3 linked regions of the Nothobranchius furzeri genome follow. The protein of the gene in region 3 purifies or fractionates together with the protein of the main gene of each other region. This does not show direct contact. Links are inferred from orthologs where the notes say so. Each region holds a gene or a part of one and is shown on either strand. Other genes may lie near its edges.

What was found.
Region 1: the proteins of twf1a (region 3) and capzb purify together in Homo sapiens (affinity purification with mass spectrometry; 3 studies listed by BioGRID and IntAct, with this or other methods). This does not show direct contact. The link is inferred for Nothobranchius furzeri from reciprocal best matches to the Homo sapiens genes TWF1 and CAPZB.
Region 2: the proteins of twf1a (region 3) and dbn1 purify together in Homo sapiens (affinity purification with mass spectrometry; 3 studies listed by BioGRID and IntAct, with this or other methods). This does not show direct contact. The link is inferred for Nothobranchius furzeri from reciprocal best matches to the Homo sapiens genes TWF1 and DBN1.

What each region holds. Positions count from the first base shown.
Region 1 is NC_091743.1:46,416,950-46,421,152, reverse strand, and holds the start of capzb (F-actin-capping protein subunit beta), read right to left. Parts: upstream 2,801-4,203; 5' UTR 2,569-2,800; coding exon 2,566-2,568; intron 1-2,565. UniProt on the Homo sapiens protein: F-actin-capping proteins bind in a Ca(2+)-independent manner to the fast growing ends of actin filaments (barbed end) thereby blocking the exchange of subunits at these ends.
Region 2 is NC_091750.1:70,967,669-70,972,006, reverse strand, and holds the start of dbn1 (drebrin), read right to left. Parts: upstream 2,974-4,338; 5' UTR 2,898-2,973; coding exon 2,815-2,897; intron 1-2,814. UniProt on the Homo sapiens protein: Actin cytoskeleton-organizing protein that plays a role in the formation of cell projections. Required for actin polymerization at immunological synapses (IS) and for the recruitment of the chemokine receptor CXCR4 to IS.
Region 3 is NC_091744.1:60,882,864-60,887,160, forward strand, and holds the start of twf1a (twinfilin-1a), read right to left. Parts: upstream 3,028-4,297; 5' UTR 2,918-3,027; coding exon 2,893-2,917; intron 2,050-2,892; coding exon 1,969-2,049; intron 1,823-1,968; coding exon 1,644-1,822; intron 1-1,643. UniProt on the Homo sapiens protein: Actin-binding protein involved in motile and morphological processes. Inhibits actin polymerization, likely by sequestering G-actin. By capping the barbed ends of filaments, it also regulates motility.

The sequences.
Region 1 (4,203 bases), on a different chromosome or scaffold from region 3:
TACGCAACATGTTTAACGTGAGGTATCAGAACCATGATGGAGGGATTTACATTTCAGTGGTGGAAACAAAACCTGTTGCACACTGCTGCCAACTAGCGGGTGGCGATTGAATTGCACAAAACGAAAAGAAAATGCACAAATGTTTGCATGTAAATTCTTTCAAGAATGAGATACACAGCTTTTGAATATCGATGTAATAATCACAGGAAAAAATACCACGATATATTGCCATATCGATATTTTCTTACACCCCTAATTCCCTGAGAAGGCTGTGTGAACAAAACCTGGCTGCGCAGAGATGGGCCAGCCCAACCTAGACTGCCATATGAGACAGGACCTTAGTGGGCAGACCAGTTGCAACAGGAAACTGTTTTAAGGAGTGACATTTTTAAGGTGAGATAACAGGCTGCAGAAGTGTCTACACATGTTTTCATCCAACCTTTACCAGACAGACAGAAACAAAGTCTTCAGAGATCACATGTAAATCTTATTGCTCCAGCACTTACATAGTTAAGGTGCTAAAATATACACTAAAACACAACAGATTACACCTATGTGTGCCCTTAGTTTGCAAAAAAGTCAAAGAATTGTTGAGCTATGTATATGCTTCTTTTACGCTCTCGTTTTTGTCATGCTTTTATTTTGAAGGTGTTAAGAGTGCTTACGTGACTTCCTGACTCCAAACAGGTTGGTCAGATGAAATTTAAGGTAATGTGTCTCACCTGTGTGTGTGTGCAGAGAGATGAGTAAAGCGTTCTGAGACTTCTCTTCCTCTGTCTTTGTGAACTAAGTTGAACCGCTGATAAATGTAAGCTCTGCTAACAAGAATGACAAACGACACAAAACCCAATCCAATGCTCCTATAAACCAACAATAAAGTATGTTGAAACAGAAGAAAAACAAACAAACAAACCCCTATCTCAACAAAATGTGTTATACCAGATTAATTCACTTCCCTTACAGATGTAAACAAAACCATCTAACATGGGTAATCCACACCTGAAGTGTGCAAACATACTAAAGTACATAAGAATGCATCAACCATCTGGTACAAGAATAATGACATGCTACAAAGCAGAGAGCCCTCTGAGCATAAATATTTTCATTAAGGCTAAAACAGAACATAACAGATGTTTATAGGAAGTGTCTCGCATAAAATCTCCCGTCACAAAGGTCACTTTTTAAAATCAATTTCTAACTGATGAATCACTCTGCTTCATTAAACACCCGTGTTTCTTGACAATGCATTTACAAGTGCTGCTGTCTTCATGTAAACACCGATCAGACGAGCAACTTCTGGGGTCATAGGAGAACAGACTAAAGACGGGGGCAGCTGTTCTACTTGGTTTAGTTCCTGTTGACGTCAAACAGTCATGCTGCCTACTTGTGGAAAGAAAATGCTAAAAAACTGGATGTAAAATGAAGCTAGTAAAAGGGTTTGAGTAGAAAACAAATACGTTTGAATTTTAAGAGATAAGCATCATATCTATTAACAAATGCCACCCTCTGCATTGTATTGTGTGTTTGAACTTTTGTCAGGAAACAAACGCGAGTTGCTGAAACTTTGGGCAACAAATTAACTGAAGCAGAAAAGAGATTCATATTATCTCAGTGTTATGGAAAACCTGTTTGATATCACTTGAATGGAACAAGCACTCATGCGGTGTTAAGTGAATGAGTCTTGTCAAACTAGTAATTCAGATAAATAACAAGCATCTTTTTGGTTCTCTGGAGTCACCACGAGACTAAAAAAAGGCTTACAGAGAGTTTGGAAAACTTAGAACATTAAAATATGTTGCTAAACATAGAAAAATATTGCAGCAACTGTTTTATTACATTTTTAAATAATTTCATTAACAGTTAATATTCTAACCCTTGTAACTTTTGCTGTTATTTTCACACATATCTGGGGTTCATACAATTCAATAGATTAAACAGTTAGAAAAATTCTGTCATTTTGTTTAGTTCAATATGATGTTTTATGGATTAATTTGACATAACATACAAAGGTAACCATATTTTAAGGCTGACGAGAATAAAATTAGACTAAAAATAAGTCATGTGAACATGGAGACTGGGCTGGACTGGGTGTCAGACCTATCCAGGAAAATGTAGAGAAAGGCAGCCAACTTGTCATGATTAGAAATAGTAGGAGCAAGCGCTCTTATTTTAGCTGCGAGCCACTCCGTGCTTGGCTGTTTCAGCCAGAGTAAAAGGGTGGATGAACTGTGTGAGTGTGTGTGAGAGAGAGAGCTAAATTAGGATTGATCCCTGCTGTAGCAAACTTGTGTCAAATACAAAACATCCTGTGTTAACTTTACCTATGAGGCAAGTAGATTGACTACTGTTAGCAGGAAGCTAACTAGCAACTTAGCCATGAAGCTAAATAATACTTTTCGCCACGCAGAAGTTCTGCTAGCCACGCAAGTTGGATGCACTCAGTGATTTGTGCTCCGTGCTCCTCTCAAATTACCACCCAGCTCCTCCAACCAGCAGCTGAGTGAAAAAGCAACCGCAGCCAAAGCCTAAAACCCCATCTCCAACCAGCTTCTCCGAGGGCCTTACCATGTCTGCGGCGGTCTCAGCGGGGATCGATATCACCGATGACTGTACACCTTAGCTTTGTGGTGATTTGCCAACGTACTTCTCTGGTCTCTTGTCGTTTTTATTTATACTTAGTACCCCGCGGAAGATGTTTTGTTCGCCTCTCCCTTTCTGAACCCAGCCCTGTCAGCGAAATTTACTTCCTCAACCCGGGCTATAGGAAGGAGGCTGCGGTGAGAAAACAGGCCCCGCTTGTACATCCGGGTCACTGGGGGTTAGTTTGCATCAGCCAATAGCGACGGAGCAAGAAAGGCATTGCCAAGTATGGAAAGAGATGAGCTTAGCAGCAAATATGCAGCCAGGGAGGGCGGAAGATGGACAGCTACTGAAAAAAAAACTATAATTGCAAACTGAAACTACAAATAAATAATAATAACAACATAAAAACCTGTCATCCATATTACAATTAAAATTCTTCCTGTCAACATTTATATAATTAGAACTGAACATTATCATTTGAAACTGGCCGTGTTCAGAAATTTAGTTTTGCTCAGTGACCGTAGAAAGAGGTTTTGCTGTTTTATGCATTCTTTATCAAGGTTGTTTCATAGAATGCTTAGGCAATGTTATTCAAATATAGGTCTGCAAGTCATAAATTTCAGACTTCATGAATCATGAGAGGATTAATTAAAAATGATAAATCAAATGCAAATAAAAGATTTTGTTTAATCAAAATTTTAAAAAGATGCTCAGTTACTGAAAAACTAAACATACCTGTGTTTTGAAATCGGAACAAAATGTAGGACACTTCTGACACATCTTTATTTATTTATAGTAAATGGCCTGCATGTGTTCTCATATACCTTCTAGAGTTCTACAACCCTCCAAGGCACTTCACAACACAATCAGTCATTCACCTGTCCCACCCCCTCCCCCAATGTTTTCCAATGACATTTTTTTGTCCTCTTCACTTTTTACCATCCAAAAACAATATCACGCTGTATTAAATAGACATTGGTTGACCACTAGGACCAAGCAGAAAACAACCACTTGTGTTTACGCCTGTTTCTCATTAGAACCATCCATGAGCTCATCTATTGGCTCTGCTGATACTTACTAACGTGTGATTGGCCATTCTTGTTGTCGTTCCAGGTTGTAAACAGGATGTGCTTTCATCATCGGGATCTCCTGATAAATCCCTGCTTGATCAGGCGCTCCCCTCCCAGATTCGCCGGCGCCACAAACGATTCTCAGGTGGATTCAATCCCATATCGGTAATCAAGGCTTATGCACACCTATAGGCAGCCCTTGTTAATCGATGCTAGATAAATGAGAATGGAAGTAAAGGACAGAGCCTCGTTCTTCATCTAGACATCCCCCATGTCTAAAGTCAAAACCACATCCTTGCATTCACCCATGCACAAACACATTCACACGGTAGTGATGATTAGCTACAATGTAGCCACAGCTGCCCTGGGGTGCACTGATGGAAGTGAGGCTGTCTAGCACTGGTGCCACCAGTCCCTCATACCACCACCAGCAGGCAAGGTGGGTTAAATGTCTTGCCCAAGGACACAACAGCAGAAGATCAATCCTACAGCCCTTCTGGACAATCGGCTCTATCTCCTGAGCTACTGTTTGCCATTTCAAAATAGTCAT
Region 2 (4,338 bases), on a different chromosome or scaffold from region 3:
AAAGAATAAAATAGCAGCTTAAAACATAACCTGCAGGCTCTCTTCAGAGTGAAACACAACTCTGGAAACAGCTGCTCTGCTGCTCCAGCCGCCATTTTCATCTTTTGTCGGCCTGCCAGGAGTGACTCGACAGGTAATGGCTTCCCTCAACAGCTGGAGGGGTCAAAGGGCCTGCAGCTAAGCAGCGGCTGCATTCCTGAAGGTCTGCCGACGGTTTGATTTTAGATAACCTGGATTTGTTTGTTAATCAGGAGCAGAGATCCTGCTCAGGAACAGGAATAAACTCGGGAAAACAGTGGAAGCAGCAGCATTTCTGCCTTTTCCATCCGTCTAAATATTATTATTTGGTTAATTTCAGTCACACATTTGTTCGTTCGCTCTGAAGGTTTGACCAAAAACTTGTTTATTCATTAAAAACACAGTTTATAATCGCGACACACCCAGCATTACAGCCGTTGTGTTTTTGTTTTAGTAGAAACCAAAAGTTTGTTAGATTTGTTTGTTTCGTTTAGAATTACAGGTAGTCGATACGATATCAGGATAAAAAGTAGATCTACCGGGGCTTGGCGGGCAGTCAGACACGGGTTCGTGCTGAACTCGGTCACGAGTGAACGGGTGAAGCGAGGAAATGAAAAGTGTTGATCCACGTCTGAACTGAATGTCAAATCCTTCCCTTTGGCACGTTTTCTGTTTTCCTTTTACTTTGCAAACGGTTTCCAAATAAAGTTTATTCATCAACTTTCCGAGCCCAGCGGTGACAAATCTGAGTTTTCCTTTAACTAAAGGTCGATTATTACATTTTACTTTTAATCCTCGGTTTTTAATCATTACTTCACCGCTCAGGTTGTTTTCTGTCCTTAGCGGTTTGGTGTGAGTGCTGATCGGTGAGATCATCACAACCCTGGACCGTTTCTCTCCAGAGAAGGACGACAGAAGGGCAGAGGGTCACGTTTGGGGGGGCGTTCCATATTGTTTGAGGTCAGCGGTGTTTGGAAGTCTCTGCCTTTGTTCAGATCCTATCAAGTGTGAAAAACGGGGGCAGGCCCGCGGCCTCAAACATCACCCGAGCTGCTCCGAGTCCACGCTGACGGAACGCTGCACAGCTTCTGACCACTCGGCGGTTTCAGGAACCCTCCCGCTTCCCGTCAGAACTCCTCACCAAACAACTGATCACCAAAACAACAGTTCAGAGGTGAAAACGTTTCCGCACAAAGCTCCTGGACTGACAGGACATTCCCGAAATTCCTTCACTGAGATTTTAGGTGATTGTTAGGAGGAAGTCGGCACCGAAACCAGAGACAAACCAGGACCAGAACCCTAAACAGAAAGAAGAACCGGTTCCTCCATTAGAGGTCATCTGACCCGGTTCACACCAACAGATGTTTCACGGTACAGATGGAGCCTGAGCTGTGATTTCCCACCGGACCACCTGAGAGGAATGTTTTAAAGGTCCAAACTCCAGGAAGAGCCTCAGCTTCTGAAAATAATCCACATCCTTCCTCTTTTGGTTTTGTGTTCAACAGAAAGCGGAAGAAGGACGCGCCTGCAGACAAATGACAAGGACCTTGTTTGGACTTTGGGATTCACCTGAAGCGTTCCTGTTCTGGTGCCTGACCTCCGATTAGGGTCATTGGAAAGGTCAGCATCAAAGTCTGGACAAATGGCTGAAAACTAAATGTTTCACTTCTATTCTGAGATTCACCCCAAAAGAGACATCTGGTGATCGGAATCGGCAGAAACCGGCATCAGGGAAACTCAAACATTAGATCCCAGAACCATAATTTACAAGTGAGTCTGGGGTTAATCTGCTGATTTTAGGGCTTTGAGATAAAAGAATATCAGGTCAGCAGTACAGAAATCGGTATTGGCTCCTAAAACCAGGATCTGTGCACCAGTGGGTCAAATCTGGCAGGAAGTCCAACGTGTCAGATTAGCCGTTAGCTCGTTTGTCCTGGAGGACGTAATCTCCATTTCCCTGAACAGAGGCTGCTCCTGCATGAGCTCTTTACAACTTTTGCAGATTTTAAAACGGCAGAATATCCGGTTGGCTCCACACCGGACTCGGAACATGTTTTAGGACATTTGCCGTTTTTTCTCTCACTTTCAGTTTATCGGACCTTGTCATCGGAAATTTCAGTTTGTAAATCAGTTTCAAAATTGAATCCAGCAGCAGGATACAGCAGGTCCTGGACCTGTCCTCAGCCCGAGGACACGCTGGAGGACGGGTCAAACCAGAAGAACGGGACTGGAGCTGGGAGGAAAACAAATCAGTCCAGAGAAAACTTTAAATGTCCTTCAGAAAGTCTGGAAAACTGTTGAAGACCTCAAGGAAGTCTGGGAATAAATCCTCCAGAACTGAGCCTGGATAAGTTCTGGTCCCATTCCCAAATCCACAGGAGTGATGATGGAGGCCCCTCACCCCTCCTCACCCCCTCCCACCGGCCTCGCCCCTCTCCTCCCTCCCTGTTTGAGGGATGGTGGATCATTATCTCCGGACCAGGCCCAGCTCCCTCAGCCCAGCCCGGTTCCGTCTCAGAGCAGCATGATGGGTCCGGCCGGACTCTGCAGCTCGGGTCGGGTCAGGTCGGTTCAGACTCAGAACAAACTCAGTTCTAACGGATTTCCTCACTTTTATCAAACCAGAACCGGGTCCTGCACCTGGACCGTGTTTCGGTAATCCGAAACAGTACAACTGTGATGAAGATGATGCCCCTCCATCATCACCCTCCTCATCCTCGGCGCCACAAACCCGGAGAAAAGCCCGGAACACGGAGAGACGCAGCGCGAGAGCCCGGTTCGGTAAGCAGAACTCACCAGTCGGTGTCGGAGGTCTCGTCTATGACGTCCTGGTAGGCGGTCAGCAGGGCCAGGCGGTTCTTGGACAGATTCACGGCCATGTTTGAGTCCGCGTGAGCATCCAGACCGCTGCTGATGGAGAGAGAGTCGGAATAAACCCGAGCGGGGAGGCGGGGGGAGGAGGGGGAGGTGATGGTGCTGACTGGTGGAGACAAAGAGGCGAGGGAGGTGTCCGGTGGGTCCTAGAGCCCACCGCACCCAATCAAAACGGCAGGCTTCTCAAGCAAGGGGTGGCGAATCGATCCCAGCAGGGTTGGGGGGGGGGGGGGGGGGTTATAAAAATCTACGGGCTTTTTTGGTCTTTATCAATCAAAGATACTTTATTAATCCCAGAGGGAAATTAGAGTTTCAGTACACACAATTCAGTGATCAGACATAGATGGGCAAGACACATGACAAGAATTGGTGACTGTGGTCATTCGCAACCACAGTCGCACTACCTTAATAGAGATAAGAGGGGTTACATGAGGATTGGTTCAGGTGGAGGGAAAAAGAGGCACTTCAGAGTTACCCTCCCTACAGGAGGGCAGCTTTGCTCTGCAAAAAAAAAAAAAACACCTCAAACATATATGCAACAGACTTCAGACAACACAAGTGTCCACTAGGTGGGGTGGTGGGTTGGGACTATTCCCATTTCAGTTCCTGCAGCCACGATAGAAGCAGCGCATGTCACCTCAGTGTGGATAGGGAGAGGAGCATTGAGGGTTGGACATCGACATACATATATGGACAATGGGTTTCCATAGACTCCAATAACACGTTTTTGTACTAAAATGGAGGTGGCCACCACCGCCATTTTGACCGTGTCACAGGTTCCGTCAAGCCCAGACAATTCCATAAAAGGGAAGAGAGGAGGAGCTAAGGGTGGGGCTGTAAGGCTGGGATCAACTGACGACACCCGGTCGAACTAGCTACAAGCTAACCTGAAGCTAACCCAAAGCTAACGCGGAGGTGGGAGCTAAGATAATGGAGGTAGCAACCTAGCTACAACCGGAGTTAACTGTGCACAACACCAGAGCTTCTGAGTCAGAGATACGCCAGGTTGACCGCTGGGTAAAACCGGGTGGAACACAGAGGTCTCCGAGACCTCCACAAGCCGGCAGCCGCACAGCAGACAAGCGCCTCTGTGATCTGAGATGTGCAGAGCTGCCGCTGGGGAGAACCGGGTGGAAAGGTTTCCATCCCAGGGCTCCACAAGTCATCAGCCCGCGCAGCAAACAGAAGCTGCGATCAGACAGAGATGCACCGAGCTGCGGGGAGGGGAGAACCGGGTGGAAAACAGAGGTCTCCCGAGAGCTCCACAAGCCGATAGTCGGAACCCAGCTCCACCAACATGTTATATTTCAACCCATTTTCTAAAGTGCAGCATTATGTTAAATGCACTGGGTTTTACCCTATTACATTTAAATGTCATGGTTAAACAGTACATGTTAAAATCTAAGCTCAGCTCGGCAGTGACCTAAAATACATAAATATAATTTT
Region 3 (4,297 bases):
TTTTGTTAACCTGTAAAGGGTCGTCTTAGCACATACTGGCTCAAGAACATTTTTTTATATGAAAAATTGCATAGTACAGCTTTTAAGACTGGTGATTGGTGAGATGTCATCGAGAACAAGTGCAGCCAAGACCAGCGTGTGGTCTTGTTGACTCTAAACAGCTTATATATATATATATATATATATATATATATATATATATATATATATATATATATATAAATGTTTTTAATATAAACAAGGGATGTTATGATTTCCACCTGTTTTACTGTTTTGACCTGCTGATACAGATTTTAACATGATATAGATCACAATAAAGGAGAGACGATATGATGGGTCACGATACTGAATTCTAGATGATGTTTACAACTTTAAACTTTGGCAAATTCAGTTCAGAAGCTTCCAAGACATTCAGACTTATGGTGAGAACATACTGTCAGAATGAAGGTGGCAAATACTGCTGCCCCCTAGCAGTCAGAGTTTGAATTGCACCATACAAAATAAAGTAATTGTTTGCATGTAAATTTTCTTTTAAAACAAAATCTATTGACTGATTTTAAAAATGGATTCAGTATCATAAAACAAAATATCACGATATATCAGTGTATCAAGATTTTCTTAAATCTCTCTTTTGAACGATTCGGACGTATTCTAAAGAACTTTAGAATGCCTTCTTCAAACACTTCTGATTATCTTAACAAGTAAAAACGTCCACATGTAGATCCGTTTTTGATAGAGTACCTTAGCATTCAGCAGTGGCATAAGATGCAAACACACTGCGGTTGACGGCTAAACGCGAGGAGTCTGTGAGGAAATGATCTTGGTCCCACTAAAAGGCACTGACCGCATTAAGGTACTCGTCTATCCTCAAGAACATCGTTGAAGTTAGCAATTCAGACTCTTCATTGATTTTAAACAGCCTTCTTTCCTGCAGTAAAACAACGAGCTCCCAATATTTTCTTAATTATTTCTATGATCCAAGGCTTCGACATAGATAGGATCATCTTAAGTGGGAAAAAGGCCAGTCCAGCTGAGGTTGCAGCGGCATGCATGCAAACACTGGTTCTGAAATTATTTAGCAACTTCTAGACAAGCCTGAACCTGATGCAGAATGCTCTGAGCTGGGGGTGGGAATGTTAGGATGAGTCGTATGACTCAGAATGGAAATCTTAGCTCAGTTCTGACCTGATTGAAAGCTACGAACATCCTTCTGATCTTTGGTGTCTTCCTGCTACATTTCTCTTTTCACTGCTACAGAAACCACTTTTGTTTATTTGTCAGGCCTTCTCTGGGGAAGCCTCTTCCAAGTTGTTTGTCAAGTTTCAATGAAACCAAACAATAACAGGCAGTGACTATTTAGCCAGGTTTTCGTAAAAAACCAGAAACAGTTTTAAATCGCTGTATTTGGCCGGATCTCTAATCTGAATGCAGAAAATGAGTGGTGCTGGAGGAAGCTTTGAAGCAAAGTGCTGAATCATTTAGGAAGTATGATTTAGCCATCTTAAGTTTTCAAAAGTTTGCTAAGAAGGTATGAAAGCACATAAAGACTAGCTGCTTTGATGTGGTGGGCCTCACCCACGTGAAAACACCACAAAAGATGGAGAGCTATTCATTAAAGCCCTTTTTGGGCAAAGTTTCCTTACAGCAGAGTGGTCCGGTGACCAGGCCAGAAGGATCCATTCGTAGCCCTGGTTGTTAATGGAGTCCAGCCGGTACAGAATATAACAGGGTAAACCATCCTCCAGCAGCGGCAGCACTAAGGAATCATATTCCTGGTCCCACGTCTTTGATGATTTCCTGGTGCTGCCTAGAACCAGCTGCTCTGGAAACCAGATGTGTGCAAACTAAAATGTCAGTGATGCACAGATTTGTCATGCAGGCATTTCTAATGTCAGGAGTTTTGCAAATGTTTATGCAAATGCAAAGTTTTAATGGTTCTTGGCAGACAGAGGTGTAAACAAAGCTTACCATCCTCAATGACGATCTTAAGGGCTCGATACCGGTCTCCGGTTTTGGCAATGGCAAAGATTTCCTTCACATCATTACCCGCTGAGAAAGAAAGACATTAAACATGGTCTGAAATTGTTTTTAAACAAACACAGCTCTTGGATAGGAGAGGGACGGGTATTTAAGAGCTGCTGCAGCAAATATTTCACTCACAGCTTCTAGAGTTGGTAAGAAGGGCTTAAAAATACTAATTTCCTTTCCTAAAGACCTGAAACTAACTTCCTCTCATTTGCATATTTTGTAAATAAAAACAGTCATTTGTGAATGCACACAGACCAGCACAAGGCTGCGCCTGATTTACAATGTTTTGTAACATTATAACAAAAGTTATTGCCACCGTCAATAACCTGTCAGTGTGACAGGTTGGTTAAAGAAGAAGGCGTTGCCCATCCATCAGAACTAAAACTAGCTTTACAGGTCTCCAGTTTGATGTTAAAAAAACTCTAAATACAAGTGACATTTAAAACAGAGCAAATAAAAGGTTTTGAAAAACAAGCCCGCTTCTGAAATGCCTCATAAACCGGCAAAGAGACGCTTAGATTCATCCCAAAGGGTCCAAACCATCGACATATATACAAAACTGTCCAAACAGTCCAACAGGGTCCAAACTGAGCATGAGCGCTGACACAAATCACAGTAGCACGGAGCTAACTTGTTAAAGGCTAGCTAAACTTAGCGCAAAATCACAGTAGCACGGAGCGAACTTGCTAAAAGCTAGCTAATTTAGCGCAAAATCACAGTAGCACGGAGCTAACTCGCTAAAGGCTAGCTAACTTAGCGCAAGCTTCTGGATGCAAGCGCTCAAAAGTAATCCTGTTAAATACACATTAATTCAGGAAAGTCGATAAAACCACGAGTACTGGCAGCATAACGATAGTTGCGCACCTTGAATGCCCGTTTGATGTGACATAGTGTCTTTCGGACTGAGACGACCGGAGCAGCTGATCTGGCGAAGCCGGAGAAGAGAAACAGGAAGTAGACTACAGCGACCGGACCCGCCCCAAACCCGTGACCTCACGTTCCCTTCAAGATGAAATAAAATACGTGGCGAAAGTGTTTTTATGCTAATCATGATTTAAGAGTTTTATTTCATTATTTTTTGAGAGATTTCAGCCTCATGACAACAAATCATAGTTGGCATGAAACTGGGTCACATCTGGCAGCCAGTGGATTACTGTCCAGGCTCTTTGTGCCTTCTCTTCATCCTTCTTAAACGAATGCATTTTGTGTTATCCCATCATTAGCAGAAGGAATCTCAGCTCTGCATCAAGCAGATCAACCACCAGTAAAGACATAAAGGAAAGGGCAGGTAGACCTACACACTAACCCTAGCCCTAATGCAACTTTTCAATCTATGATCTCAGGACTCAATGCTCTGACACTTTATAACACATTCATATATATACATATATATATGTATATATATGATATTTCCATCATGTTCCTATGAACATATTATCATATTATATATGATATTTCCCATATACATATGTCCTACACACTAACCCTAGCCCTAATGCAACTTTTCAATCTATGATCTCAGGACTCAATGCTCTGACACTTTATAACACATTCATATATTCATATATATATATATATATATATATATATATATATATATATATATATATATATATATATATATATATATATATATATATATATAATGTCATTTACATTTTTAATAATACAAGCGTGACATTTACATAATGTTGTGTAATTATCCCAGTCCTGTAAAATATAGTTTATCTAGGCCTATGTGATATGAATGAATGAATGTTTTTATTGTCACTGTACAAGGTACAGTGAGGTTGTTATCATGCATAAACTGTCCGACTAACATTTTTATTCCAAGATTAGTAATAATATTTTGAGACTAATGTATAGCCTGATAATAATTATTAGGTTACTGCCCTTGCAACCTGAACTGAGTGGAAGACAATGGATGGATGGGCAGATATTATTGTTTTTGTTGTTATTATTATTATTATTATTATTATTATTATTATTATTATTATTATTAGTAGTAGTAGTAGTAGTAGTAGTAGTAGTAGTAGTAGTAGTAGTAGTAATGTTAAAAATAATGATGAAATGTCTAAACGGGCATAAATTATACCTACTTATAGCGCCACAATAACTTTTTTATGTTTGCTCAAAGAATTTTACAAGAAAACGATTATTTTGAAAAAAAAAAAAGAAATCTTAAGACACCCAACTAAATAAAAATAAACAGTAAATTTATTGTTTTTCCTATGTTATTATTATTATTATTATTATTATTATTATTTTA